Linked DNA regions of Ovis aries. The protein of the gene in region 2 purifies or fractionates together with the protein of the main gene of each other region. This does not show direct contact. Links are inferred from orthologs where the notes say so. Each region holds a gene or a part of one and is shown on either strand. Other genes may lie near its edges. The genes, in order: NCK2 and LRFN4.

Region 1 (15,015 bases), on a different chromosome or scaffold from region 2:
TTTACATTTTTTGTTCTAAATACTTGGACGCTCACGATATACGGAAACAGATCCAAGTTTATTTTGGGTGCTGGCACCACAGTTTTCTGTAGATGTCTCTGCTGTCTGTGGGCACTGCATTTGGCAGGTCGTCTGTACTGTGAATGATCTCGTGAGACAGAGCTAGAGAGTTCTAAATTACGGCATGGTGTATGTAATTCAGGTTCGCACAACTGTATAGATTATAGCAGAGACTGAGGAGGTGAACCTCAAGTGTTAAAAGTGGCTCTGCAAACCCAGAGTCCTTGCTATAACATGGTAAAGAGATGACAACTGGAAAAGCTGGATGTTTAAAATCAAACTGAGATCTCTCAATATTCTTTGCACGCGCTACATAAAAACTTAGGGGGTGGTTTGTTGTTGTCCAGTCCCTCAGTCATGTCTAACTTTTTGTGACCCCATGAACAGCAGCACGCCAGGCTCCCCTGTCCTTCACCATCTCCTGGAGCTTGCTCAAACTCATGTGCATTGAGTCTGTGATGCCATCCAGAGATGGCATCCTCTGTCACCCTATTCTCCTTTTGCCTTCTATCTTCCCCAGATTGAGGGTCTTTTCCAATGAGCTGGCTCTTTGCATCAGGTGGCCAAAGTAGTGTAGCTTCAGCTTCAGGGGAGTGGTTTGGTTTTGTACTTTTTAGAAATGAAAAAAAAAAGTACTTTTTTGTACTGGTTCCTTAGATGGTGACTTCATTTAGGAAGTTATGTTTAAGTGACGTGTAGAAAGACTATCAGTAATTTTCTTATCCTTTATGGACAGTCACCTAGAAAACCAAACTACTTATAAGACAAATGTAAAGAATCAGCTTCTCCTCTTAGGTTGTTTACAGAAAATACAAAAACACTGAGCATCCTGACCACTGACCAAGCAAGGAGGCATGGACCAAACCCATATAGTAAACCTCCTTTCCAGCATGTGTTGAAATCAGGCTTCAGCAGAAAGGGCAGATACTTGAGCACCAACTGCCTGGTGACAGCCAGTACTGACTCCAGCAGGAAGTCCCCTCGACAATCTTATTTTGATTCTACGTGTGTACTGAGCAAACAGATGCAAATGCCAACAGTCATTACTTCTGGGTGATAAGATCACAGGTGATTTTTGTTTTATCCTATTTTCCAAAAATTTAAAAAATAAGTATGCCTTCCTTCAATGAACAGTTTGATAAAAGACAGGCATTTCAAAGAGATGACAATTCTGAGGGCTACCCGAGTGCAGAAATCGTGTCATACCAAAAGCCTGTGAATGGCAAAGACAAGAGAATGTGCTTGCTGCCAAAGAGACTGCTGCCAAAATGGAAATCAATTTACAGAAGAGGGAGAGGTGTACTCCTGGGACATTTGGCTTCTCAATCATTTTCATTAACAGCTCCTGCTCCCCTCAACATTAAAGGAACCGGGCGAGATATTGATAAGTGAGTCCCTCGGGGCCAAGAGTAAAGGATGCTCACGAAGTAGCTAGTCCTCTACAGTCCCAGGGGACAGCACGGGCGGGAGAAAACCAACGCAGCCTTGCAGGTGGGGCCAGAAGTGACTGGATGCACCAATGCTTCCAGAAGGATAAAAGAGGAGCCAAGGGGTACTGTCCAGTCCTTTGCAGTGGCCCACGAGGGACAGCACCAGTGTTCCACTGAGCCCCACGCATCTAGGCCAGGGTTGCTCCTCCGGTCCACCCACGCTCAAGACCCAGGGGCTGAACGCTACCCTTTATTCCGTCCCGCTGGGCTCCACTCCTGTCGTGCACAAGGACACGGGGCTGGTCCCACAGCACGTCGACACCCATCTCAAAGCCTTTGGCTATTGTTCCCAGAGGTGACTCAGCAGGAACCAAGGAGCTTAGAGGGACTTCCAAGGGACAGAGAGAGGAAGAGATAACTCCAGCTCAGCCTGAGATAATCATGGACCGCGGCATTCCTCACCCTGGGCTCATCTGGACAGATCGCCTGCTGCCTGCCTTGCTCAGACCTGCCAAGGATGCTTGTGACCACAGCAGAGACCCACAGACCTGCGGGGCCTGAAAGGGCACCCCAAGGCCCCACAGAGGTGGGACCCCGAGGTGCTTTCTGACCATCTTTCTCTCCCGTCTCTGTTGTAACAAAGACGTGCTTATTGAACTGGCTGAAGCAGCCTGGACTGGTCCAGCAAGAAGCAAGATTCCCTCCCCTGCCTGCTGCAGAAAGGAGTGCTGGATGATTACAGAAAGTTCTGAGCCACGGCCTGGGGACATTCTGGGGAAGGTTCAGTTGGCACGTTCACGCCCAGTGGCAGCCTCACGTTCAGGTCTGATCTCAGCAGGTGCTCGGTGATCCTCTGATCTCTGAATGGTGACGGTGGTTTAGTCACTCATTCATGTCCCACTCACTCTCGCGACCCATGGACTGCAGCCTTCCAGGCTCCTCTGTGCATGGGATTTTCCAGGCAAGAATACTGGAGTGAGCTGCCATTTCCTTCTCCAGGGGATCTTCCGGACCCAGGAATAGAACCTCGGCCACTTGATGTCTGCCCATTTGGTTTAATGTTTGGTAAAGTTGTAAGAACAGCACAAAGGATGTGTTTCCCTGAGCTCTCTGAGAGCAAGCTGCCAGTGTCCTGTCCCATTACCTCAATACCTGGTGTGCACCTCCACACATGAAGACAGCCTCCTCCTCAACACAACCCTGCCATCAAAACCAGGGCGTTAACACCGACACATGTTCACTGTCATACTCACACACCCCTCAAGCTTTACGAATAAAACTCTGGTTTTTCATCTCTAAAATAGAGAACCGCATACCACTAGAATTTCCTTTTAACATCCTAGCTGCTTATCTTTGCTATAAAGTCCTGTCAAATGCCCACCCAGTTAAATCCTGATATTCGAGTTGGTTAAAAATAAACACACACACAAGCAAATTTACCTACATACAGCACAGGGAACTCCACTCAGTGTTATGTGGCAGGCTGGATGGGAGGAGAGTTAGGAGGAGAACGGATACATGTATATGCACGACTGGGTCCCATTGCTCTTCACCTGAAACTACCACAACATTGTTAATCTGTTATGCTCCAATAAAAAATAAAGTTAAAAAAAAAAATCCCAAGTTGTCCCATCTGTGCCTTTTCTTGCAGAAGTAAATTGCTCAGTCAACCCCACATGGATATGCTTTGAGGAACCTGGGGAATTTCACTCCCAGGACCAGTCCCTCTCCAACCACAAGCCTCAGCCCAGACAGCACGAGGTGTACTTCAGAGAGTGAGCAGTGGTCTTTGAGCAGCCTCTCTCTGCTCCCGGGTCTGGCATGAACTCAGAAAGGTAGAGTCTTGGTGCTAACCGCTGGCAGGTGACTAACTGGCCTCAGGTCAGGTCACATAGAGGCCAAGGCTAAGGAACAGCCCTGGTGGCAGCCCACTGCTGGTTCAAGACACCATGGGAGGCAGTCTGCAGTGGACATGCGGGCCTTGGAGCCAACCCTCCACTGGTGGCTACTAACAGGTTATAATGGAGCCGTGGTTCTCTAGGCAGCCTGGTCAGTACCTGGGCCTAAGGTGATCACTGAGAAGACAGCTAACCTTTGGGGCTGCAGCAGGGTCCAGCTGCTGTCGAGAAGTAGCAAGAAAGATAGCTCTTCGAGAAAATACCTCCTTCAGCTAAGAAGATTTAGCACGTGGCTTGATAACACCTCACCTGCATGGTTTTATGAGTCAGGTCATGGAAATACCAAGGCCAGGTTGGAGCCCAGGGATGTGCTGAACCTTTAAAATATTACCCGCACTCTGCTAGGAGAAGCAATTCATAAGGACGGCTCCTTGTTATTAGCGGCAAAGTTCTCTTTGACTGTTCATGATCGCGAACTGAGTATGAGAGATCTATGGTTGCACGTATGCATCAATGCACTGCCTGTATGCAAAGAAGTGCTCATGTTGTTTTACTTCATTACAAATTATTAAAAGAAAAGAAAGAATGTTATCTGGTTCCTAACAGAGAGCTCTTCGGGGGGAAGGCTCTGCTTTATGTCTAGGGGCTTCCCAAGTGGCACTAGTGGTAAAGAGTCTGCCTGCCAATGAAGGAGACAGAAGAGACTCAGGTTTGATCTGGGTCGGGAAGATCCCCTGAAGGAGGGCATGGCAACCTAGTGTTCTTGCCTGGAAAATGCCATGGACAGAGGAGCCTGGAGGGCTACAGTCCATGGGGTCACAAAGACTGGACATGACTGAGCATGCCTACACACACTGCTTTCTGCCCAACAAAGGATGAGAAGTGATTGAATTAAACTGGCGACCAACCTCAATCCAGTGCAGGAATGTAAAAAAGCCAGAGAGGCTCTGTGGATCACCGTTGTCTGCAACTAGAGATGTCACCAGGCATGTGGTACACAGGGACTTTGCTGGGAAGTCTGTGCTGTTTTGTCCCAAGCCAGGTGTCTGCCGGGGAAATCTTAATCTGGCTTTAACCATAGCAGGCGAATCACAAACATGGATGATGTCATGAGTAGCTATTAGAAGGTTCACACATGTGGTGTGGTTTCTGAGCCCGTTTTCACTATTTCTGATGCACGGTGGAAAGAAAATCCACTGGCTCCGTAATCCATCTAGGATCACACTGGAATTCCGACAGCAGCACACAGGTCACATCGATTTAAACCAGAAGCCTTGGAAGGCTTAGCTCCAAAGACCAGCGGGAGGCAGGAGAGGATGGGGAAAGTCTTGGCACCTTCCTTCTCAATACTGATGCCATGTCAGGTCTGATGATGGAGAGATAAGTCACTCCACCACGGTGCCTCTTGTCGGGTGCCTCCCTTTTCAGTGACACTGCTTGAGGGGCCAATGGAGGACTCAGGCCAAGACAACAAGGTCTCTTTGTCCAAGAAAAGCAAGGCTTTGGGTGAGCAAGGTAAACACATCAAAGCAAGAAAGACCAACCATGAAGGGGGGAGTTTCTCCCAGGTGATGAGAATACTGAACCCCATGAGCCTTTAGAGCAGGGGTCCCTAATATCCAGTATCTAACACCTAATGATCTGAGGTGGAGATGATGTAAGAATGATAGAAATAAAGTGCACAATAAATGTAATGTGTTTGAATCATCCTGGAATCATCCTCTCCCCTCCAGTCTGTGGAAAAATTGTCTTCCACGAAAACAGTCCCTGGTGCCAAAAAGGTTGAGGACCACTGCTTACTATAAATATTAACTGCTGTGGATTGATATGGATGTTCAGAACATAACTTTGTTGGTGTTTTTACAGTAGATGACGGTTGGTGCAAACATTTCCAAGGCCTGACGGGGGAGGAAAGGTGGAGAAGGGTGGTCAGTCCCCAGAAAAGAAGCACGGTTCCCCAGCACAGCTCTCAAGTGCCAAGGAGAGCTGCGCGGAGAGAGTTACAGAGGAGCGAATGTTGATTCTATTTAAGGAAGAGCTTTCTAGCAATCTGTGTTCTCCCAAAATGGAACTGGCTGGCTCCGTGGAAGGAGACATGAGCCTGCAGAGCTGGGTGGCCATCTGTTGGGGCGGGGGAGAAAGCCTGGCACTCCACACGTGGACAAGCTGGCTGAGTGATGCCCCCTGAGTCCTGGGAGTCCCAGAGACTGACCATGGCTCGTGAAAAATTGAACCTGAGCACAAATGTGCTTTACAGCTCAGCTGTCTTCTTGTTCTAGAAGCTGAAGGGAGGAAGGACAAGCTGTTCAAGGGGATTTGTGGGGAACTTGGAGGGCTACCTTCACCTTATTTCACTCCCCAGCGATCCATCCCATTTCTGGGTGTTTTATTCTTTATTGCACTTCCCCGATGGCTCAGCAGTAAAAAATCCACCTGCAAATGCAGGAGATACGAGTTTGATCCCTAGGTCGGGAAGATTCCCTGGAAGAGGAAAAGGCAACCCACTCCAGTATTCTTGCCTGGAAAAATCTCATGGACAGAGGAGCCTGGTAGGCTACAGTCCATGGGGGTCACAAAGAGTCAAACACGACTTAGTGACTAAATAACATCATTCTTTACTAGAATCTTGAGAATATATTTTTTTAAAAGGATTAGAAAGAAGACAAAACAAATCAACAATGTTGAGCATCTCCAAAAAAAAAAAGGGACTTGAGTGGATAAGGAAAAGAAGAAATAAAACTAAGTTCAGGGCACTCCTAAAGTATTTACCTAGTCATACTTTCCGAAATTCTAGATCACAGTTAATGGAGAATTATACGCACAGGACAACAGTGTTTCTTTCAAGTGACAAGCTTGGGAAAAAAGACAAACGGGTGTCACTTTCATGGAAAAGAATCAGATTGCTCATGAAAAGCAGAATTTCTCCATCAGGCAGAGTCTACAGTAGCTGATGTGATCCACACGCTGGCCAGTGTCTCATTTCTCTTTCAGAGTCACGGAAATAACCTAACCCATGACACAAAATTACTCTCCAGTGGGTGAAGGCTTCGTATGGTTTCAAAGAAAGTCAGTGGACTCTTCAAGATTGCAGAAAATGAAAGATGAATATTTTGCAACACTCATCACACTCAGAGCTTAATTCTCCTTTCAGTTTCCCTACCTGTTCCCCTCCCTCAAATGAAACCAATTCTCAGGTTAGAAATAAAAAGGAAAACTTCAAGGACATGTAACGTGGGTGATAACACTGACCTATTTCGAGAGCAAACTCTCCCGTGACAGCCAGTGGTCTCAGGGGTCACTGTATGGTGCTCATGGAAGGAGACATCACGGACCTGACCTTCAGGAAGTAACTCTGACTCCCTCTGCAGCCGTGACTACTGCAAGGAAGCCTGATGCCCACACGAAGGTGAGACCGGATACCATCAACTCCAGTGGACCCAGATGGCCTCTCTCATGTCCAGACACCAGGGAAGGGGACAGGCGCATGGGAAGAAAGCCAGGTGCCCAGCTGGCCCCCTGTGAGTCACCCCAGCGGCCTCGGCATCATACCACCCCCTCCGAGTCCCCACCTTAGCTGCCACCGTGCGCAACTGTGGTATGAAATGCCGCCAATTCAACAGGGGGAAACAATTCACCAGGTTCCAGGTGCTTTTCACTATCTCCTCCTCTACTCACAAAGGTCCCACGCACAGGATTCTGTGGGAGAAAAGACTGGATGGAATGACCCGGGTGGAGCTGTGGACGTGCCTGGAGAGGCTAATTCCCATCTCAGGCCCCTCCAGAACATTGATGCCAGGAGACTGAGATGTGCAGGGCGGGAGGTAGAGGTTCAAAACACATGGAAGGGTCAGCTTACAGAAGCCTCCGAACTTGAACATCGCAAGGAAATGACAAACAGGCTATTTCTGCACTGCATCTCAAAGCCCAGAGACTCTTAAGAAAGACGAATAGAAAGATGCCTTTTTTTCTTCAAACACGAATGAAAATGACGACCCCCCCGACCCCCTGCCCTGAGACTGCCCGCCCTCTGCGCTGGGCTAGGGTCCAGCCCAGGGGCCCGCTACGCCCGCCACTCACCGAGCGTGTCCTTGATGTTCTTCACCAGCGAGCCCTTCTTCAGGCTGTTTTTCCTCTCCACGTAGTTGGACGGCACATAGCCTGTCCGGTTGGCTGCGTTGCGCACCCGCCACCACGTCTTGGAGTCGTCCAGTAGCCACAGGCGCTCGTTCTTCTTGATGTCCAGCTCCTGATCCTGCTGGGCCGTGTAGTCCCACTTGGCTATGACGATGACCTCCTCTGTCATCTTTCATGGAGTACTTCTGCCAGCAAAACATTTGAAGAGAGTCATTAGAGCCCTGGCCAAACACCACTGCCTCCACTTGGAAAACTACACCCTGACAGCTTTTATTACAGCTTGGCAACCATCAGAAAGAATGAAGCGATGCCATTTGCAGCAACATGGATGGACCCAGAGATCATCATACTGACTGAGGCAAGTCAGACAGAGAAGGGGAACTTGTATGGCATCCCCTATACGTGGAATCTAAAAGGACATGATACAGATGAATCTTACAAAACAGAAACAGACTCAGAGACTTAGAGAACAAACTTATGGTGGCCAGGGGAAAGGCTGGGGGAAGGGATAGTTAGGGAGCGTGGGATGGACATGTACACACTGCTCTACTTAAAATGGTTAACCAACAAGGACCTACTGTAGAGCACTGGGAACTCTGCTCAATATCATGTGGCAGCCTGGATGAGAGGGGAGTTTAGGGGAGAACAGACACATGAATATGTATGGCTGAGTCCCTTTGTTGTCCACCTGAAACTATCACAACATTGTTAAGCAGCTATACTCCAATACAAAATAAAAGGTTTTAAAAAACAAGTTGGCAACTGGCTGTCTCTGGGGTCTTGAAAAAACCTTAAGATGACCTTCCTTCAACAACCTTTAGTATTTTGTTTAGAAATGACCAAATGCTTGACCTTATCAAGCAAATCTTAATTTTGCACAGTTGGAACTCTGTATGCTTTGCTTAAAACAACAAAAGCTTTCCAAAACCTACATAAAATAATGGTATCATAATTAAATATGTTCAGTTCAGTCCAGTCACTCAGTCGTGTCCGACTCTTTACGACCCCATGGATTGCAGCACGCCAGGCCCCCCGTTCATTGCCAACTTCTGTAATTTACTCAACCTCATGTCCATTGAGTCAGTGATGCCATCCAACCATCTCATCTTCTGTTCATCGGTTAAGTAACACCAGATTCTTACAGCTGACACTGTTACATCCATTTTCTCAGGATAAGCTGAATTTTCTGAACATACTTAATGACTGTGACACACTCAAACTGAAATGGTATCCTGGACTGAATCCTCAAATATGAACACTAGAGAAATCCAAGGGAAGTCTGGGGCTTCCCTGGTGACTCAGAGGTAAAGGATCTGCCTGCCAATACACGAGGCATGGGTTTGATCCCTGGGTCGAGAAGATCTCCTGGAGGAGGAAATGGCAACCCACTTTAGTATTCTTGCCTGGGAGATTCCATGAACAGAGAAGCCTGGTGGGCTACAGTCCACAGGGTCACAAAGAGTCAGACACGACTGAGTGACTAAATAACCACAGCAACAAAGTGAAGTTAGTCAATAGTTTACCACTAACCAACTCTTACTTCCGACACATGTCCCTTGTCAGGCAAGATGTTAGCACTTAGAAAACTGAGTGGGGGATATTTGGAATGCTTTGCACCATCTTTGCAGCTTTTCCATAAATATAAAATCATCCCTGGAACCTGAAACACAGATGTTTATAGCGGCTTCATTCATAACTGCCAAGATTTGGGAGTCATCCAGCTGCCCATCAGTAGGTGATGGGTAAATCAACTATAGTCCATCCAAATAATGGAGTATTATTGATTGTTGTTGTTAAGTTCCGGAGTTGTGTCCGACTCACTGAGACCTGCCAGGCTACTCTGTCCATGAGATTTTCCCAGACAAGAATACCAGAATGGGTTGCCGTTTCCTTCTCCAGGGGATATTTCCAATCCAAAGACTGAACCTGCGCCTCCTGCACTGGCAGACAGATTCTTTGCAACTGAGCCAGCAGGGAAGTGAAGTGAAGTCGCTCAGTCGCGTCCAACTCTTTGTGACCCCATGGACTGTAGCCTACCAGGCTCCTCTGTCCACGGGATTTTCCAGGCAATAGTCCTGGAGTGGATTGCCACTTTTTTCTTCAGGGGATCTTCCCAACCCAGGGATCGAACCCGGGTCTCCCGCATTGTAGACAGACGCTTTACTGTCTGAGTCACCAGGGAAGTCCGAGCCAGCAGGGAAGCCCCAGTGAAATATTACTCAGTGATAAAAAGAAATGAGCTGTCAAGCCATGAAAAGACGTGGAGGAACTTCAGATACATATAAGACTATGTGGAAGAAGCCCATCTGAGAAGGCTGCAGACTGTGATTCTCACAAAAACTCTCTCCTTGACCAAACTTGAGTCAGACTCCTCTGAATTCTCTGCGCAGACTAGACATCAACTCTCTGAATTCTAGCAAGAATCCTGCTGAGTTGCTGGACCCTTAGAGAGGTGACGCCTCTTCTTAGGAGGCATCTTGTGAGGTCAGTGCAGCCAGAACCCCCTCTCACCTCTGATGCTTCCTCTCATGTGCTCCCCACCTCCTCACTCCTGGACTACAAACTACCCCCCCCCCTTCCCTCCTGTAGGTGGATGTGAGCCCAGTCTCTCCCCACTATGGCAAAAATCCTTCAAAGTACTTCCCTGAGTAAAATCAGCTAAACCATGCTTTAAGAAGTGTCATGTTTTCTTCAATAAATCCAAGTATATAACATTCCGGAAATGGCAAAACTACAGAGACATTGCAAAGATCAGAGACAGAAGGAAGGAGGACTGGGTGGAACACAGGGATGTTTAGAGCAGTCTGACAATTCTGCACGATACAGTAACAGTGGACACATGTCATGACACATTTGTCAGGAAATACCAAGAGTGAACTCCAAAACCAAAAGTTTATTAAAACAACAAAGAATTCGGTATATTACCTACCTCAGTAAGTCAGTTCTCAAAGTAACAAATAGTAAAAGTATATCTGAATGACTACAGTAACTATGGCTAGTGTTTAGTTCTTCAGTCATACCCAACTCTTTGTGACCCCCATGAACCACAGCCCACCAGGCTCCTCTGTCCACGGGATTCTCCAGGCAAGAATACTGGAGTGGGTTGCCATTTCCTCTTCCAGGGGATCTTCCCGACTCAAGCATCGAACCTGCATCTCCTGCATTGGCAGGCAGATTTTTTACCACTCAGCCACCGGGGAAGCTCCACAATGACTATAGTTATGAGCTATTTCCTAACTTCTCAGGTAGAAGGTGGGCCAGTATGTTTGCAACAGAAAAATTCAACATTCAGTCATTTAAATGACTACACATTTACTCAAAACTAGGAAGACATGAATAATGGAAAGGCTTTTGACTGAAACCCTCTCCTTATCTGACAGGGAGGAGTTCTCATTATTTACAGGGTCTACTTCAGGATGACAGAGGGGACCTAGCGCACTGACTCCACAGAAGAATGAATCCCATTTTTAAATAACATGACACTCTCTGCTGCTAGATGCTAAAGACACTTATAAATAATACATGTTCTCCTCCTTCATGAATTAACTTCCAAACTTACAGATAACAAACCTTTGGGGAAGGAGGCGATGATGAATAAACCTTACACATAATGTACACAATATCCAGGGAGACAGTTTACACAAAGCTCATTTCTAAACTGTAGGCAATACTGTTATCTACTTTCAGAAAATCTCAAGTCCATGGGTGTCTCCATATGTACTGAACTCACTGTCAGGCTTGATTTTTGAAGGTCATGGAGGTCGTTTCTCTTTTTTCAGTCATGAGGGGAGGGGCCCGAGCAGTAAAAGGAATGAGGTTCAGACAGTATTTTATTGGGATACCAGGTTTGTGTCTCAAATTACAGTTGTTTTAAAGAGAGATTTTAACAAGAACAGCACATCATTCAAGACCAATCAAAGCAATCTATAAATTTTCTGCACAATTTAACTTCGTGAAAAAGCTGGTAAGTTAGGCTCTGGCTGGCATGGTAGGTTTCAGTGCAGGTTGACAATCACAGGGAAAGGAGCCTAGAACATGCTGTGCCTGACTCCAACCTCCTCGGGCACCTGGGACCCCCAGGAGTGGGGGCTGAATGTCCCTAGCATTTCACGGGCCTCAGGTGACTCCAACAGCCCTCCTTGAAGGTGCTCCTCCTGGGTCTGGAGCAGGGACTGTTGAAGTGAGTGCTTAGTCTAGGGGAGGACACTAGCGTGCACAGGGTGCTCATTTAATCTCCAAACACCCACCTCTTGGGGAAGTGCAAATTTTAAAGAGAGGGACAATCAGAGATTCAGTGACTTGCTGAACAGCAGAGCCAGGACTTGAGCCCAGGGTTGTGGTCCTGTGATCACTTCTTGGGTGAGTGATCAGAGCCCACCATCAACCACCACCTCACGCTAGCAATCACAGCTCTCCATCAACAACCACCTCACCCCAATGACCACACTCCCCCATCAACAACCACAACAATAGCCACACACCCCCATCGACAACCAATCACAGTCAGTGCACAGGTCTACCCACCCCGCCCACCAGCACCCAGGCCACAGACCCCACTTTGCCTTCCTTTGGCCATTCAGGCTGTAGAGACTGGCGGCTGGACGGCCACCCTGGAGGGAGCTGTTGGTAAGGGTAGGGGGGCAAGAGTGGGGGTTCCACCCAAGGTCCTGGGAAACTGCTCCAGGAGGCCAAGAGGAGCCAGTCCTTCCAGTAATGAGAAGTCTGATATGAGTGTAGGATGAACTGTGTAACAAGAAGAGGCTGGCACTGAATTAAGATTATCCCCCAATATAAACCAGATGTACAAAGTGACTTAAATTCCTAATACAGAAAAGCCATAACAGAAGAAAGTCTGAGGAAGTACCTTCTAATTGACCTCAGAAATTTTATGTCAGAAATGGGACGCTGATGTGGTCTAGGACTTACAGAGGTCAGATACAAAGCATAGTGTACATTTACCCCTCCAGCTTGGGCAGGTCAGGAAAATCAAATTTTTGCCTTCATTCACTAAGCTAATATTCACCCACCTATAGCCAACAGAAAGAAGAGCCACAAAGTTAATATTCTGCAGCCAGGCCATGTTTCATGTCATGCGACCAGTCATACACTTTTAACAGTTAGCGATACAGATTAGCAAGAAAAACCCTATTTTATACTGAATTAAAGAAACTCAGAAAATCTAACATGCTAAGCTGCTTTTTCAAGTCTTGGGTGGAAGAAGATTTAAAAAAAAAAAAAAAAAAAAAAACCCCAAACAGACTGGAATAGTTATAAAACTTTCTTGGCCCGGCAGTTGTCACTAACTCCTAAAATAATATCAGTCCTATTCTGGGACTCTCTAAAAAAGAGCCTGTTAACTGCAGCTTGCTGCTTTAGGGCTGGATTACATAATTCTCAGAACAACCAATACCCCAAAATGCTCACGGACACTCCCAAAGGGGTCTCGGGGGCCAAGCTGAACCACTCATAACTACAAACAAAAAACCTGAATAAAGAGTCTGGGGTTCAGGATTTCCTAGGTGGTCCAGTGGCTAAGATTTCTTGCCCACTGTAAAAGGTTTGATCCCTGGATGGGGAGCTGGATCCCATATGCAGCAACCTGAGTTCACATGCTGCAACTAAAGACCCCGCCTGCTACAATGAAGATCCAAAGACCCCACAACTAAGACCCAGTGCAGCCAAGCAAATAAAAATTAACATAAGAAACAATAATCTGGGGTCAATGCTTAGCTGGGCCTTCTGTGCATCCCCCTGGCCTTCCTCTCATTCTGTAGGACAAGACAGCAGTAACTGCCTCGCTTCAGGAGGTATCCAGACCCCTGGAAGCAGCCCAGTGATGTCGTGATTAAGGGGCGAGGTTTCATGTCATACAGGCCTGGGCTGGAGTCGGCTGTGCACCTCAGCCCAGCTGCCCTTCTGTCGTGTGGGGCAAGAAGAACACCTCCTCCAGGAGTTTGTGAAAACAGCTCTGAGCCCCCTGCCCACACACAGACTCAGAACGGGAATCACAGTCAGCATGAAAGCACTGTGCATGGTATAGCACTGATGGTTAGTGCCAGGGGGCCAGGCTGCCAAAATCTCCTGCCCAGTACTCTAGCATGTAAGAGGACAGTGCGGGGCGCTCAGGCTTTGGGATAAGACCCTTCTCGTCGGTTTGAATCCTGGCTCAGGCACTTTCCAGCCTGTGGACGTGGACAGGTTATCTTACATCTCTAAGCCCCAGTTTCATCATTCATTCAGTGTCTCTGTAGATCCATCGTCCCTGCTTCACAGGGTGACTGCAGAGCTGGGATGAGCTCACAGTTAGGAAGCAGCCCCATGGGCACCAGGGGGATGCTAGCAGCTCCTCCTATGACTGGGCTTCCCTGGTGACTTGGCAGTAAAGAATTCGCCTGCCAAGGCAGGAGACATGGGTTCCGATCCCTGGGTCAGGAAGATCCCTTGGAGGAGGAAATAGCAACCTACTCCACTATTCTTGCCTGGAGAATCCCATGGACAGAGGAGTCTGTGCATGGCGGGCTACGCTGCATGGGGTCACAGAGTTGGACACAATTTAGCAACTAAAAACAACAATCTTTGACCATGTGCCCCTCCCCATGGAGGAAGGCGTGCCAAGCCCGTTCTGTTGTTTATTTTCTCTTTTACATGTAGTGTATTTTTGTGCCTTAGGGAAGCAGTAATACCTTGACTCTCATCATGGCTTAATTAACTTGCTGAGAGCTGGAGCAACATGAGATTCCATATCGTGTCCTACTTGAAGTTGAAGTCTAGCAGCTGTAATTAGTGATACGCTTGCAGAAAGCCACCAACTGGCCTTTCTGTTCCCCTCAGGGCACCACAAGCTCCTGCCAACTCCTGTCAAATGAGTTGGCATCTGGTAAGTCTTATCTACCATGCAATCTGAAACTTTAATAAACTTGAAACTTTAGTAAAGAATTTATAAGGTCTTTTAAAGTTGCTTCTGACACCGTTTCTCTGAGTGGGTCTCCTTAAAGCAAGTGTACTATTTTAAAGTATTTGCAAAATAAACAAAGGGAGGAAAACAGTGTGATAAATGAGAGAAAACAATGAAAGTGTTATTTTTGTTTGGACTGACCGTGGCATGGTTACTCATGGCATTCTTTTTCCGTGGGCTGCTGTAGGCACTTGCATAGACTTAGCGGCTTGAAACAGCCCAACATTCCCTTACAGTTCTGTGGGGCAGAAGTCCCAGCTGGGTCTCACTGGGGCTGAGTCAAGGTATGGGCAGGGCCATGTTCCCTCTGGAGGGTCCAGGGAAGAATGGTCCTTACGTCTTCCAGCTTCTGGGCACTGCCCTGGTCCAGGCAGGTTCCTCTCTTATTCTTCAGCCTCCTCTCCTGCTCACAGGGCCTCTGTGGTCACAAAGGCCTGCAAGGGTGTTCCCCCAAGATGAGCTGATCAGTAACCTCCTTTCCCCCGTGTTTCCCCACATAGCCTGACATATTCACAGGTTTCCAAGGAGGAGGATGCGG
Region 2 (15,744 bases):
GACAGTTCCTTCTTCAACCTCTGACCCAACTGGAGACTGAGGACACTGCTGGGGCGCCTGCCTTCACCTGGCAGGTGTGAGAGCCCCCAGAGTCCTCCCTGTCTCCAGGTAAAGGCTGAGTGGACCACGTGCTCCAGCCTCACCCTCTGGCCCCGTGAGACTTTCCCCTTCACGATGCTGGAAATTTTTCGTCAATCTTGAGCCTGCCCTAAGCCAGTTCTGCTAAGGGTCGGGCTCTTTGCTTGCTCCCGAGCAGAGGTTCTTCTGTGTCAGAGAGACACAGACTCGGGCGCAGGTTCCTCCCAGGTCACGAGCCACGTAGAGCTTGGTTGGGCTGCAACCTCTCTGACCCTCGGGCTCATCCTCTGATGGGAATGTTGGTGGCTCTCAGAGCATTACTGTGGAGGTAAAGCTTGGGAAGGGCACAGCCACAGTCCACGGTGTGGACGCATGGCAATGCCCAGTAATCATCATCGCTACTGAAATACAGAACACTGGGGAAGGTCTGCCGATGATGTTTCCTGGCTGTCCTTACCACAAGCCTCAGTGACAATAAATTGAAAACCTGGAGCTTTTAAACAGCTGTTCCACTTGAATTTGTTGCTGTCCTTAAGAGCTTGGCAGTCAGGGAGGGTGTGCTTAGAAAACCAGGCTCATGTGGAGATTGTACTCTGAGATCTTCTCTGGCAAACTGACCCCCACCCCACCCACCACACACAGAGTAGCATGTACCGCTGTGAGAGGGAGGGTCTGATGTCAGGAGGGTCTGCGGGAGGCAGGGGGACAGGGAGGGCGCAGGGCAGAGTTGGGGGTGGAGGTGGGGGGCAAGCCCAGGGTGCTGCTAACATCTCAGCTGCTCCTCAGGCGGACCCTGCAGGGCTCCCAGCCTGGGCGTGGTCAGGACGAGGCTGGTGAGGGTCAGCAGGCAGGGCCGGGGGCCAGGGCTGCCCGCAGCCATCCCCTGCCTCATGCCGCCCCCTCCCCGTCCCTCCCCCAACCTGCAGTGTGGACCTGGTCCATGCCCAGATCCACGTGGCTGAGGGCCGGAGCCTGCCTGACCTGGGCCTCCGGCAGGAGAACATCCGCATCAACGGCTGCGCCATCCAGTGCCGGGTCACCACCGAGGACCCCGCGCGCAGCTTCCAGCCCGACACCGGCCGCATCGAGGTAGGCCACCTCCGCCAGAGCCCGCCGCCCGGCTCGGTCTGCATGAAGGCCATTCTCCGGGGGGCACGAGGGAGCCTGTGGGCCCAGCAGTGAAGGGGGCGCCTCACTGGAGCTTAAGAGTATGTGGGAGCCAGGCGCTGTCCAGCACTAAAGGGGAGAGCATTCCTGGGAGAGGCTGCCATGGAGGCTGGGAAGGCCACCAGCGGGGACAGGGAGGTCAGCTGGGTGGAGCCAAGTGCGGAATCCCCAGGAACAGAGCCCAGGTCCTTGACTCATCTCACAAGGACCCAAAGCTTCGCTGCCCACTGAGGGGTCCTGCTGGCTTCGGTCCTGCCTTCAACCTGGGGGAGGAGCCGGGCGCATGAGGGATGAGGTCCCGGAGGTCTCAGTGGAGGGGCTGGGCTGGGCCAGGGGACCTGTCAGGGATGCATGCGGGAGTCCGGGAGATGGTGGGGACAGGGAGGAGCCCGAGCAGTGGCGTAGGGGGCCTGGTGGACTCCCCCGGCCCCTGCCTCTGGGCCGGCTGGGGCCCCTGGCCTCTGGCCCTGCCTCATGCCCCAGCTAAGAATACCTCTGGCTCCAAGTCAGCACTCTGCGGCCCTCCTGCTGCCCCCTCTGGCCCAGGAGTCTGGGGAAGCGGACCTGAGGGAGGACAGGAGGGTGATTCTCCGTTACTGAGCCTGAGAGGACAGACTGGGGTGGCCAGGCGGGGTGGGGTGGGGAGCAGTCTGGTTCTGAGAGTCGCATTGGCTGCTTGGCTTGAGGCAGAGCTACCACCAGGACTGTTTCTGGAAGGATCCAGGTCCACAGGTGGGGGCCAGCTCCCAGGCTGGAGCACTGTCCAGCGGGCGCCCCCATCGAGTCTGCCCTCGGCGGGCAGGGGCAGCCCCGCTACAGCTCCATCTCCGAGGCCTGGCTCCTCCGAGCCTGGTTTACCACAGAATATTTTTAGCTGACGGTTCCTGCTCACAGCTGAGCGTTCACGCTTAAATATTTTATTAAGCTCCTTTTTATCACGCACAGGCTGTGTCCCTTAGACGCGGAAGTGCAGTGCAGTGTGTGTCCCCAGGCCCCCGCTTGTCCCTCCCGCTCCCCGTCTCCCTGGCCAGTGCTGCTCACGAGGCCCCCACCCCGGGCATTCACACCCAAAGCCCCTCCCCCAGCCCTGAGTCTCCACCGGTGACTCCTGGGAGCCCCGGCTGTGCCCCTGAGCCGCCTCTCTGACCCTCGCCCTCTGCTTCCCTGTCTGGGCCTGTGGGCTCACGTGCATCTCGTTGCATCTGGTCCCAGCGTTTCTCATCAGCTCACTGCTCCTTCCTCTCCCACTTGACAGGGAGGGAAGGCGGGGGACCCCGAGGCCTTCCCTGTCGCTGGGTGTTAGGGACCCCCTCGGCCTGCCTCCCCTGCCTGGCTCCGTCCTGCAGCGCCCTTGCCGCTCGTCTGTGTTTCCTCCTCTGTCTGTCCCCTCGCCCCGCAGGCTGGGACCCCTGCTTGAGCGGGGCCTCTGTTTTAGCTGCTCTGTCCCCAGTGCCTGGCGTGAGGTGGGCACACGCGCTGCGGACTGAATGAGTGAACAAATGAATCTGAAAGGCAAGGGGGCTGGTCAAGCAGGCGGGTGGCAGGTCTGGCCCCTCCGTGCCCTGCTGACTCCGCGTCGGCCCTGAGAGTGGGGCCCCGAGCCTGGGGCTGGCGGGGCCCATGCTCCCCACCCTTCGTCCTGCCCTCTTCCCCTGCCAGCTCCTCTCAGGGAGGAGGAAACCGTGACTGTGGCCCTTAGAGCCGGTGGGGTGCCCCTCGGTTTGCTGGCAGAAATGAAGCAGAAGTTCTCAAACCAGAGTTGGGGGTCATCTGTGCGTGACTCTTGGAGCCCTGCCGGCCCATGCTGGTCCAGCCTGGGGCCACGGGGGTGCCATGTCTCGACTCCAGCTTCAGACCTTGGCCTGACTGGGCCACCTCTGCCCGCAGGTGTTCCGGAGCGGGGAGGGCATGGGCATCCGCCTGGACAACGCCTCTGCCTTCCAAGGCGCTGTCATCTCCCCCCACTACGACTCCCTGCTGGTCAAGGTCATCGCCCACGGCAAGGACCACCCCACGGCTGCCACCAAGATGAGCAGAGCCCTGGCCGAGTTCCGAGTCCGAGGCGTGAAGGTGAGAGGCTGCAGCCCCGAGATGCCCCTGGCCTCTGGGTCATCTCTGTCACCTGTGTCCATAGCCAGAGGTGAAGTCATTGCCGCAGGCTGTCTTGTGTCCGAGGCCAGTGCCTCTGCGTACCCGTGGGCCTGCCCTGGGCACATGCCACTTTAGACCTGCTGCAGGGCCAGGGGCAGGGGACCACACTAGTGGCCCAGCCCACGGTGGGGGAGCTGCCCCCGAGTCCCTACACCGCACACGGCACTCCGCAGCCCCCGCCTTCTCAGTGGCTCCCGCCCTGCTGGGTCCAGGCTGGGCGCTGGGTCTGGGCCACGTGGGCAGCGCTGTCCTCGCTCAGCCCTGCTCCATCCCCATCACCTTTTCAAAAAGCAGGCGGGACGGAGGAGCCTGCGGGGCAGTGGCCACTCTCCGCTCTCAGCCCACCTCACAGGACAGGGCTGTCCCCCGTGCTGGGGGTATCTGCGCTTCCGTGAAGAGCCTCAGGGCACCTGGTCAGGGGCCGTTCCCTGCACACATGGCCGGGATGTGGCATGGTGGCAGGCCATGTCCGGGGCTGCTCTGGGCCGGGGGACTGGTGAGCAGGGGGCCCGGTCACCCCACCCCCCGCCTGCCCACCCCTGTGCTCTTGTCCTGCTGGTGACCCTGGGCCATAGTACTGTCCACCCGTCCGACAGGCTGGGGGCTCCCAAGCTCCCACTGCCTTCGCGCCAGAAGGTGGAGGAGGGCCCCAGTGCCCCCCGGTGCATGCCCAGACCGGGCACCGGCCCCGCCGCCTTCCGTGCTGCCCTGGCACGGCTCACATTCTCCTGCTTCTCTTGGCTGAACCCCTTGTTTCACTTTATTTAAACCAGGATCTCTCTTGGGCCACATCCAGGTATGTGTTCCGGGGCTGGGTGGGCAGGCACATGTGTGTGTCAACGCCACGCACACGTGTGTGAGCTCAGCCGGCACACGCGTACACACGCACCTTACCACACCAGCTCTCACCAGGCTGCCATCAGAGGCACAGCAGGGCTTAGGCAGAAGGGCGCACCACCCCTCAGCACAGGTACAGCCCCACGGGCAGGGGTGCCACACCTGCCTCCACAGCGGGGCCCGGGTACCTGCATGGGTGCTCCTGGCACCACCAGAGAACCACGCATGCCTGGGGTGTGTTTGCAGCTTCCTCCCAGCCGACACTTGGGAGCAGTGGTTGTTTGAAGGCTGGAGGAGGCCGTCTGGGCCATGGGCTGGTGGGGACATGAGCTGGAGGGGGTGGGACAGGGCAGGGCATGCTGCCCCGAGCCTGGTTCTCGAGGTGGGAACCAGAGCCGTGGCCATGGGGGCCTGGTGCCCCCTGGTGTTTGCCCCAGGATGTCCAGCAAGAGCAAAGCCTTGAGGGGCGTCGGGAGCAGCTGAGAGCCGAGACCCCACTCGGGGCCCGCACTTCCGACGGGAGCCCTCCGGGGGTCCCAGACCAAGAGCAGGGCGATGCGGTTCTAGGCCCTTTGGTTTGATGTTACAAATCCTGAAGGCACCTTGGCCAATGGGGAAAGACACTGTCACCAGCAGGGGTCAGTGGGGACTTTCTGAGTTACCAGCCCAGGTCCCGTTGCCCGGAAGAGCCGGGCCATCCCCCACCGACTCCCGCTGCTGCCCTGTGCGCTCTGATGTCTGTGCCAGGCGAGCGTCCTGGCCGCACACTCCAGGCAGGGGCGCCCTCTGCATATAGATGTGGGCACAGAGCCGCCTGCTCTCCAGGGCACCCAGGCTGCTGGGGCCGCCTCCACAGGGCTGGGAACCCCAGCCTGACCCCCTTGTCTGTGCTTCCACAGGCCCCTCAGGGAGCCGGGCAGGACCAGGCCAGAGACTAGCACTGAGGTGGCCCCAATAATTTTATTATAAAGAAAGACAAGACTTCCACTTGGCAGCTGCAGCCCCCGCTCGGAGGCCGTGAGCACCTATCACAGGGGCCTGTCCCGTTTTGCCCGACTGGAGGCCAGAACCAGGGCAAGGGCCCCTGTCCTGCCAGAGGCACTGAGGGGAGGGCCGGGGCGGGTGCTCTCCAGCCACGCTGACCCACCAGGCCAGGAGGCCGCCCGCCTGCACCCTCTGCCTCCCGGGAGGTCTCCCAGCCCTCAGACCACGCTCTCCTCCAGCCGCTCGGCGCTGCCCCCCGCCCCCCGGCCCCCAGCCCCGAGCAGCCCCCCGTGCACAGAGTGGCTCCGTCGGGCCCAGGCCCCTCCGAGGCGCCTGGCGTAACCGTAGCACCCGCCGCTGTCCCCCAGGTCCAGGGAGCAGCTGCGCTGGGGGCGAGGCGGCGGGCTGCGTGGGGGGTGCGCCTTGGGCGTGGGGCTGGGGCCTCCGTTGGTCTGCGACTGCACGTGGCTGAGCTTGAGGGGGAGACGGCCGTTCCCGGCCCCCCGGCCCCGAACCAGCAAGGCCACAGTGAAGACCAGTAAGGCAGCCACCAGCACGCCCCCTACGGCCACAGTCAGGGTCCCGCCCAGCACGTGGGCCTGCAGGGCGTGGCACAGGGGCGTGGCTGGCAGCGTGGAGAAGTGGGCGCAGCCCAGCAGCCGGGTGGCAGTGAGGTCAGAGGGCCCAGCAGCGGGTGACAGCGCCAGCAGGCAGAGGTCGTAGTCGGCGCCCGGGACCAGGTGCTTCAACAGGAAGCGATGGCTGGAGGCCGGGACGATCCTGCGGGCAAGGGCAGGGGTCAGAGCGCAGGCCTGGGGTCCAGGCCCCCGCCCCCTGCCCAGGGCCACAAGGCCTTGAAGCTCCCTTCGCAGCCCACCCCCCCACACACACACGCTCTCAGGTCCCAGCTCTGAGAAGCCCCTTCCCCAGGCCCACAGGAGCCTGTGTGTTCACTTCAGAAGGCGGAGGAAACAAGCAGGCGCGTGTGGCCCTGGAGATGGTGCAGGGCAGACAGGTGTGCCCATCGACACCCAGGCCCGCCCCGGGCCTCAGAGGCTGCAGAGACTCACACAGCAGTGCCCGTGAGGCTAAGCCAGTGCCTGAACACAGACGCCAGCACCCCGGGCTCCGCCTGCCAGCCTCGCCTGGGACCTCGTGGGGCACAGACTCCTCCCCTCCCCTCCCCCTGCAGCCCCCACGACCCCCCAGCTCGGAAACTGAGAAGGGGTGCATGGAAGCCCCAGGAGAGAGCAGGGGCAGGAGAGGTGGCCAGCCCTCCCCAGAGGGGGCAGAGCTGGCTCAGAGGAGGGCGGCTCCCAAGCTGGGGGCTCTGGACTGCAGATCGCCCCCTCACCGGTAGATGAGGGTCTCGTCCTCGCTGCTGTTGTACTGGAGCTGGAACATCCACACGGGGTCTGCTGGCCGCCCTGGCCCCCAGCTCACCAGCCCGGAGGTGGCTGTCACCTCCGTCACCTGCACAGCCGGCTCCAACTCAGGCGTGCCCTCGCCCTCCGCAGCCGTGCGGGCTGAAGCCGCGATGTCCGAGGGCCCCGGGCGGCCCCCCTCGGTGCTGCCGTTCCCCCCGTGGGGCAGAGCCAGCACCCGCAGTTCAACGCGGGCCGTGGCCTCGCCGGCCGGGTTGGTGGCAATACAGGTGTAGGCCCCCGCGTCCCCGGAGCCCGTCACCCCAATCTCCAGGGTCCCATTGGGAAAAGCCCGAGCCCGGGAGGAGTTGCCCACCAGCCGGTCATCGGGGCCGACCCAGTGCATGGTGGGCGCGGGGTCGCCGAGGGCCCGGCACCGCAGCGTGGCCCGCTGGCCCTCCAGCACCCAGAGGCGCTGTGTGTGGCGGGCGATGAGGGGCGGCTCACAGGAGAACTCGCCCTCGGGCACCGTCCAGAAGTAGCGGCCGGCTAGGCCGGGCGGGGAGGCGCAGGTCTCCAGGTCGTCGGGCCGTGCCAGCCGCCGCAGCCAGAGCAGCTCGCAGTTGCAGTGCAGAGGGTTCCCGCTGAAGCTCAGCACCAGTGGCGTGGGCGAGGCCTCGGCGTGGCGGCCCCGGGAGAAGAGCGGGTCGGGCGCCAGCGTGGCCAGGCGGTTGGAAGTGAGGTCAAGGCGGGAGAGCTGGCTGAGCTGGGCAAAGGCGCCTGGGGGCAGCGCGTCGATGAGGTTGTGGTCCAGGTTGAGGGTGTGCAGGGCGGGCATGGCGCCGATACCGGCCCAGGGCACTTGCCGCAGATTGTTGTAGGACAGGTCCAGGTCCTCCAAGCTGCCCAGGAAGTCGTCGAAGGCGCCTGGCGCGATGCGGCCCAGCTGGTTGCCACTGAGGATGAGGTGCTGCAGGTTGGCAGGGCCCCGCAGGCTGCCTGCGCCCAGCTCCGCCAACCTGTTGCCGTCCAGGTGCAGGGAGCGCAGGCTCTCCAGGTCCCCGAAGGCGCGGGCCCCGATGCGGGTGATGGCGTTGCGGGACAGCGTCAGGTCCACCAGCCCGGTCATGTTGCGGAAGTCCGGCGGCCCCAGGGCCTGGATGAAGTTGTCAGCCAGCCGCAGCTCCACCGTGCGCCGGTCCACGTTGGGCGGCACGAACAGCAGGCCTCGGTGGGCACACAGGGTGCTGAGCGACTCCGACAGGTTCTGGCAGATGCAGGGCAGTGGGCAGGCGGCCGCTCCACTGGCCAGCAGCAGCAGCAGGAGCGGCGGGGCCATGGCGAGCGCCCTGTAGGAAGGGCCACAGCCCAGGCACAGGTGGGGTTGGCACCGCTGCCCACTTGCCCCGGGCAGATCTTGGGGGGGGGCAGCTTCCAGAGCCCGGCCTGGGGGTGGGGTCAGGGTCAAAGGCCCAAGGGGTCCCCCAAAGCTGAGATAAGGCTGGGGCCTGCAGAGCCAGGCCCCCGGAATAAAGGTCACATTTCCCAAGCCGTGAGAGGGAGCCCAGGCTCTGGGGACAAGGTGAGGCGTGAGCAGGAAGCGGAGGTGGCCGGGAGCGCAGGGAGGGTCCCGGAACTTCCTTCCCCTGGCGTCCCCTGGACTCGCCAGCATCCCTTCGGCGCCATCCCCTCCCCCGCCGGCTAAGGTGCCTCCCCAAGCCCTCCTGGGGCCCCCGCCCCTCCCTGGCCGCTCCCCACACTGCCCCCCACGGCCCCCTCACCTGGTGTCCGTAGCTCAGGGGGCGCGGGCCGGCCTCCCCGTGGGCCCGGCCGGCCCTTGCCGACTCCAGGCGCCTCTCCCGCGGGGATGAGGCCCGGGGCTGACCAGCCGCGTTCCGCGCGCCTTCCGGCCCATGGCGCTCGGGCCCGCGGCCCCAGCTCACTCGGTTCGCGGCACCTTTTCCCGGAGCGATTCGCGGCGGCGGCGGCGGCGGCAGCAGCAGCAGCAGCAGCGACAGGCAGGCGGGTGCGCGCCAGCGAGCACGCGCACCGCGGACACGCACGTGGAGAGCGGACGGGGAGGGGCGCGCGGGGATCCACCCGGGCTCCGGCCGGCTCCCGAGGTCACCCGGACACGCGGCCACTGCAGCGCCCACGGGTGGCTCCTGGTCACGCCCGAGGCCCGGGCCGGCGCGGACCCGCCGCGCAGCCCCCCGGCGCTGCCGCAGCGCACTCACCCGGGCATAGGCGCGCGCGCCCCCGGCCACCCTGGCGCCCCGGCATCCTGCACCGCACGGGCGCCTGCTGCCGCTGCGCGAACCGTCACTCTGCAGACAGGCAGACAAAGCGCCAGCTCGCGGGCCCCTTCACCATCTCCCAGAGACGAGAGTCTTTGTCACATGTCGTTGGGCACCCTCCCCAACACACCCACACATGCCCACACTCCCACACGTCCCCGCACCCACCGGCAGGGCCGGGTGCAAACCCGCACTGTTGCTGGGACCCTCGCGTTCACAGACACACGGTGAAGGTCATAACCGTTCTGCATCACCAAGTCACGTGGAGGGTCCCCAACAGGCACGGGCCCTGCGGGGGGAGGGGAGGGCTGGGGCGATGCCCCCCGGCCGGGCTCCAGCGGGGTGGGGCGGAGAGGGCTCGGCCTCGGGCTGGCGCCGCGCCCCGCCCCCGCTGCCGGCCCCTCCCTCCTCGTCCCAGGCTCCCCGCCCCGCCGGGCGCGCACGGGAACCAACCGGTCTCCGCCTCCGGCCCGATTGGTCTGCGCGGCGCGCTTTCCCGGCAGGCCGGCAGTGGCACGCCGTTTGAAGCTGTGCGTCAGGGTTCCTGGCCTGCCCGGCGGCCCCTCCCTCCCCCTTCTGTTCCTACCGGGCATTTCCCTGAAAGAGTGGCCCAGAACGAGTCGGCCCGGCTGAGACGGGGGTCCCGCGATGTGTCGGCGGGGTTGAGTTCCCGGCTTTTGCCTCTGAGATCCGGGCTCGGCTGGGAGCGCTGAGCGCTCTGAGGCTGAACGCGGACCCTGGTCTTTCGTCTGGGCCCAGCAGGGAAACAAGGGAAGTTACCACCTCCCCCAAGTATTTTCTAGCCCTCAGGCTCCTCAAGGAAACGGTGGTGGTTTAGTCGCTAAGTCTTGTGCAGCTCTTGAGACCCTATGGACTGTACTCCGCCAGGCTTCCCTGTCCATGGGATTTCCCAGGCAAGAATACTGGAGTGGGTTGCCGTTTCCTTGGATTTCTAATCTTGCCTGGTACACCCGGTAACCTTGGGCAAGTTCTTAACCACTGAGACAGTTTTCTTATTCAGGCTAAGGAGTGTTGATTGTTGGTGCTTCATGGGTTGAGAGAAGAGAGGAGGTGACTTGTGAGGGGCTCAGGCAGCTGGAAAGCATTCTTTTTGGTGCCACTCCTCGGGCCTCTGCGGCTGTTGAATTTGTAAAATGAGGGCGCTGGATCCTTGCCCAGGTCACCTCTTGCTCAGTGGCATCGGATACTCCCTTTTCTTCTCCCTATCAAGAACGTTTTCATTCACTCTCAACGTACAAGTTACTGGCATCCACCACGTGCTGCTCCGAGGGGAGCTGGGATAGATCGGAAACCAGAGGGGCCTGCCTGCCTGCATGGAGCTTACTCCCCCATGGAGGATGGATTGGGTGACATCCTCCAGAAATTACAGAGGAGGAAGGGTCTGCCCAAGGGAAACACAGGGTGGGACGTGGAGGCCTCTTAGCATCCTTGCCACCCCTATGATGCGCTAGGTTCTTTAGCTGGTTGAATTGGTTTTCTTGTCTCAGATTCCATGCCTTGGCCCAGCTGAAAGGTCCCCATTTTAGGAGGAGCACGGACTAGTCTCAGGGACAGACAGGCAAGCTGGTTACACCCGGCAGGCATGAGGCAATGTTGGCTGGCCCCACTCTGCGGTGGCCGCCGTGGGTGCTGGTGGGGGAGGTGACGAGAGCCCTGGGGACAGGAAGAATCTTTCAGAGCAGCCTCAGGGCCCAGGGCCTGGTGGGCCTGGGTTTCCTATTGAAGGTGCGAGAGGATCGCGCATGTGCAACCCACAAAGTTGCCTTCTCTGAAGTGACAGCCGGGCCGTAGCCACACAGCCACAGGTGCACGCACACTGGAGTCGCGTCCACTAGGCCTTGCAGCGTGTCCTGGGGCAGCTCCTGTAGCACGGGCTCCCAGGCACTCCCACCCGACCCCTCCTTGGCCCCCAGGGTGGACTCAGCCCTGCCGCGGCTTCATGCTGTCACCCAGCTGTTTAATAAGCAGAACAGAGGGCCCTTGTGCACAGAGCACGTGGGCACCAGCCCCTCAGACGGCACCCTTGCCTCTAAAGTGCTCCCGGGTCTGAGAAGATTGCAGACAAGATGATGAGGCTGAGCAAGGCTTTCCCACGGCTGGTCCCATGGAGTCCTAGAAAGGGACGGCTCTGCCATGAGGGCAGGAGATGAGGACCGGGAAGGTCTTTGAGTTCAGGCCTCAGGAGGAGCTCAGCCAGCAGGCGTGGCGATGTGAGCGCACAGGGCAAGTCTGGAGTGACTAGAGGTGGCCGTGACTGGGAAGCCCGGCCTGAGGCCGAGGGGACACGGAGTCCAGAGATGGCTGTGGTAGAGTCGTCCAGTGTGCCTGTTGGCACAGGAGTGAGTGGTGAAGGTGATGAGCTCAGGTTTTGGGAGCCAGGTGGGTGGTGAGGCATGCCACGGAAGGTAGGGGAGGCCTGGGGGAGACAGGCCGACATGGGATTGGATGAGCTTGTGTGAGGGGCGCTCAGGAAGAGGTGCCCAGGAGGCACTTCCATGTGGGGTCTGGAGCTAGTGGCCAGGACAGGCCACCCTGGGAGAGAGTGCTGGGCGAGAAGGAGAGGCTGGGTGACAGCCTCCTTCCTGCAGGGGTGGGAGGAACCCCCGTGGAACGTGGAACGAGGGAGGAGGCAGAGGGGAGCGAAAAGTCTTGGAAGCCCAAGGAGAGGGCATCCCGGCGGGAGTTGCTGGCAGGAGGAGGGTGGATTTAACTGGAAGGAGGGACCTCAGACTGTCAGAGCGCATGCTGCGTGCAGTGGTGGGGTCCCTGGATGTTGAGGCCCCTTTGAGGAAGCATGGTGGGGAGGGGCGGTGCTGCAGGAAAGGCCAAATCCGTCTTCAGTCTGGCTGGAAGGAGTGGGGAGGCGGGACTCAGCACAGGCTCCAGGGCGAGCAGGGTAGGGGGGTGGGCTCAGGCCCCTGACAGCCTGGGGGCTCAGCCAGGACCGGGGTGGGGGTGGTGAAGCGGGCGGGACCGCCATTTCACGGGGAGGCTTGCATCGCAGTCCCCGGCAGCACGTCCAGCCACTCCTGTCCCTGGCCAGACTGCACAGTGACACCCTCCTACCTGCCTCTGTCCTGCAGACCAACATCCCCTTCCTGCAGAACGTACTCAACAACCAGCAGTTCCTGGCAGGCACCGTGGACACGCAGTTCATCGACGAGAACCCGGAGCTGTTCCAGCTGCGGCCCGCACAGAACCGGGCCCAGAAGCTGCTGCACTACCTTGGTTTGCCCGAGTCTCCCTTCTCTTCCCCACCCTGGATGCCTTGCTTCTGCCCCGTCCTCGGCCTGGCCACGCACCTCTTCTTTTGCTTCACCCCCCGCCCCTGACCCCCCGCCCCTGATCTCAGAGGCTGCTTCTTCCTCCGTGTGGCCGTCACCAGGTCCCCACTGCCTTGACCCAGGAGGCCCTGGCTCTGGAGAGGACAGGGGCCAGCTGGAAGACCCGGGGTCCTGGAGGAGTACCCCCAGCCCCAGGCCCAGCCACTCTCACTTCTGCCCTCGACTCAGGCTTGGCCCAGCCTGCCCTGACCCTCGCCCACTCTCTTCCCAGGACACGTCATGGTGAATGGCCCAACCACCCCGATCCCCGTCAAGGCCAACCCCAGCCCCACAGACCCCATCGTCCCTGTGGTGCCCATCGGTAGGTGAGATCCCTTCTGCCACCTCACAGCGGTGACATGGAGGCTGCCACTTGCAGGGTGGGTGCTAATGCCCCGCTCTGCCCTAGGCCCACCCCCAACGGGTTTCAGAGACATCCTGCTGCGGGAGGGGCCTGAGGGCTTTGCTCGAGCAGTGCGGAACCATGAGGGGCTGCTGCTGATGGACACGACCTTCAGGGATGCCCACCAGTCACTGCTGGCCACGCGCGTGCGCACCCATGATCTCAAAAAGATCTCCCCCTACGTTGCCCACAGCTTCAACAAACTCTTCAGCATAGAGAACTGGGGAGGTAGGCTGGGAGAGGGAGGGAGCGTGGGCCCCACAGTGCAGGCGGGTTGCTCTCTGGGACAAGCTGGAGGTGGGAACCCATGAGAACTGAACAAGGCAAGGCGTTCACGGGTTTAGCAAATAGTGACCGGTGTCCTTTCTCCCGGACCTGAGGTCGCGGAGCTGAGACCCTGGCAGCTCGGGGTGAGAGAGGAGATGCCAACCTGTTAGCGTGCTGTGGCACAGAGAAGAGGGGTGAGGGCCGTGAGGGGGACACAGAGAGGACACCGTGACCCCGAGGGGCCAGCAAAGGAAAGTGTGCAGGGGTTAGTGCCAGGACGCGATGGACCCTGATGAGTGGGGCGCTGTTAGGACCAGAGGTGCAGGCTGCGGGGAGTGGCAGGGCCCCCGGGACGCAAGGGACCCTGATGAGCAGGGCGCTGTTAGGACTGGAGGTGCAGGCTTCGGGGTGTGGCAGGGCCCCTGGGACGCGAGGGGCTGACCTGGGCCCCTTGGTCCCGGTGCAGGAGCCACCTTTGACGTCGCCATGCGCTTCCTATACGAGTGCCCCTGGCGACGGCTGCAGGAGCTCCGGGAGCTCGTCCCCAACATCCCATTCCAGATGCTGCTGCGGGGGGCCAATGCCGTGGGCTACACCAACTACCCCGACAACGTGGTCTTCAAGTGAGCCTGGGTGGGGTGCGCCGTTTGGGCCCCAGTGTGAGGCCTGCGTGCCCCACAGTGGGCCGGAAACCAACCCTCAGTAGCTGTGCCCAGCCAGGGCGGCAAATGAGAGAACTGGGAGGGCTTCCAGGGGAGGCCCCCGGAGGGCAGATGAGCCCCAGCACACGTGTGCAGAGCTGCAGCTGGAAGCCAGGCCTCCGTCTCCTCAGCCTGCCACGCCTTGGCAAAGCAAACGATCCCCAGCGATCCTTCTGACTGGGGCAGACGGAGCCGCACTGCACGCGACTGGCGTCGGGCGGCTCTGCTGCTCGTCAGATGCTGCTGGGGTGACCCCGCCCGACCTAGGCTGCCCCAGAGAGGCTTATCCACGCCATGGACATGCCATGGTGCCCCCGCCAGACCCGGCCCTCAGATCTCACTCTCCAGGGGTTGCAAGAGGGCCAGGAGCCAGCAAAGGATGTGCTGAGGGGGTGGGCTGGAGCTAACCCTGAGCGCTCCTAACCACTCAGGTTCTGCGAGGTGGCCAAGGAGAATGGCATGGACATCTTCCGGGTCTTTGACTCCCTCAACTACCTGCCCAACCTGCTGCTGGGCATGGAGGCAGCCGGCAGTGCCGGTGGCGTGGTGGAGGCCGCCATCTCCTACACGGGGGACGTGTCCGACCCCAGCCGCACCAAGTACTCACTGCAGTACTACCTGGGCTTGGCCGAGGAGCTGGTGCGAGCCGGCACCCACATCCTGTGCATCAAGGTGCCCGCCCAGCCCACCCCCGGGAGTCTGCCCCCCGCCCCGCCTCCCCGCTGTGATGCACCTCACCCCCGCTGGGCACACCGCGTGCCCACCCCTCACTGTCTCCTCCCTGCTTCTCTCAGGACATGGCCGGGCTGCTGAAGCCCATGGCCTGCACCATGCTGGTAAGCTCCCTCCGGGACCGCTTCCCTGACCTCCCGCTGCACATCCACACCCACGACACGTCAGGGGCGGGTGTGGCAGCCATGCTGGCCTGTGCCCACGCGGGGGCTGACGTGGTGGACGTGGCAGCTGACTCCATGTCTGGAATGACGTCACAACCCAGCATGGGGGCCCTGGTGGCCTGTACCCGAGGGACGGCCCTGGACACAGGTAGGCACAGCCACAGCCCTGCCCGTCCTGGCAGTCGGGGTGGCCTCTCCAGGCCGGGCCTTCCATCACCCACGTCTGCGGTGGTGCCTGATTGGACCTGGGGTCCCGGGAGGGGCCTCTGGGACTCAGCACATTTCCAAGCCTCCCGCCTCTGGTGTCCCTGCAGGTGTGCCCCTGGAGCGTGTGTTCGACTACAGTGAGTACTGGGAGGGGGCCCGGGGGCTGTACGCGGCCTTTGACTGCACGGCCACCATGAAGTCTGGCAACTCGGACGTGTACGAGAACGAGATCCCAGGGGGCCAGTACACCAACCTACACTTCCAGGCGCACAGCATGGGGCTTGGCTCCAAGTTCAAGGAGGTCAAGAAGGCCTACGTGGAGGCCAACCAGATGCTGGGCGATCTCATCAAGGTGAGCCAGGCGCTCCCACCCTTGCCTCGGGGCCTCTGTAAGGTGCCTGGCACCCTAAACCCAGGGGTCCCCTCTCCTCAGGTGACGCCCTCCTCCAAGATCGTGGGGGACCTGGCCCAGTTCATGGTGCAGAACGGGCTGACCCGAGCCGAGGCCGAAGCGCAGGCAGAGGAGCTGTCCTTCCCCCGCTCGGTGGTGGAGTTCCTGCAGGGCTACATCGGCATCCCCCATGGGGGCTTCCCAGAGCCCCTTCGCTCCAAGGTCAGGAAGGCCTGGTGCCATGGTGGGTGGGGGGCCAGTGCAAGGGCGTCTGGGAACCAGGCCTGACCGTCTGCTCTGCATCCCAGGTGCTGAAAGACCTGCCGAGGGTGGAGGGTCGGCCGGGAGCCTCCCTCCCACCCCTGGACCTGCAGGCGCTGGAGAAGGAGCTGACAGAACGGCACGGGGAGGAGGTGACCCCAGAGGACGTGCTCTCAGCCGCCATGTACCCCGATGTCTTTGCCCACTTCAAGGACTTCACCGCCACCTTCGGCCCCCTGGACAGCCTCAATACGCGCCTCTTCCTGCAGGGACCCAAGATTGCAGAGGAGTTTGAGGTCAGTGCCTCTGGCACCTACCTGCGCTGCACAGCGGCCCCCCCAAGGGACCCCAGCACTTCCAGGGTGCCAGGGCTCTGATGTGCCTGTCCCCCAGCCT

The links.
Region 1: the proteins of LRFN4 (region 2) and NCK2 purify together in Homo sapiens (co-immunoprecipitation; 3 studies listed by BioGRID and IntAct, counting the BioPlex papers as one, with this or other methods). This does not show direct contact. The link is inferred for Ovis aries from reciprocal best matches to the Homo sapiens genes LRFN4 and NCK2.

The regions. Positions count from the first base shown.
Region 1 is NC_056056.1:60,811,926-60,826,940, reverse strand, and holds part of NCK2 (cytoplasmic protein NCK2), read right to left. Parts: intron 7,708-15,015; 5' UTR 7,692-7,707; coding exon 7,466-7,691; intron 1-7,465. UniProt on the Homo sapiens protein: Adapter protein which associates with tyrosine-phosphorylated growth factor receptors or their cellular substrates. Maintains low levels of EIF2S1 phosphorylation by promoting its dephosphorylation by PP1.
Region 2 is NC_056074.1:41,273,796-41,289,539, reverse strand, and holds LRFN4 (leucine-rich repeat and fibronectin type-III domain-containing protein 4), read right to left. Parts: upstream 8,263-15,744; 5' UTR 8,254-8,262; coding exon 6,572-8,253; intron 5,998-6,571; coding exon 5,436-5,997; 3' UTR 5,175-5,435; downstream 1-5,174. Other genes in the region: PC (pyruvate carboxylase, mitochondrial), read left to right, coding at 1,005-1,167, 3,133-3,315, 11,983-12,127, 12,455-12,544, 12,632-12,853, 13,359-13,515, 14,025-14,265, 14,388-14,637 and 3 more. UniProt on the Homo sapiens protein: Promotes neurite outgrowth in hippocampal neurons. May play a role in redistributing DLG4 to the cell periphery.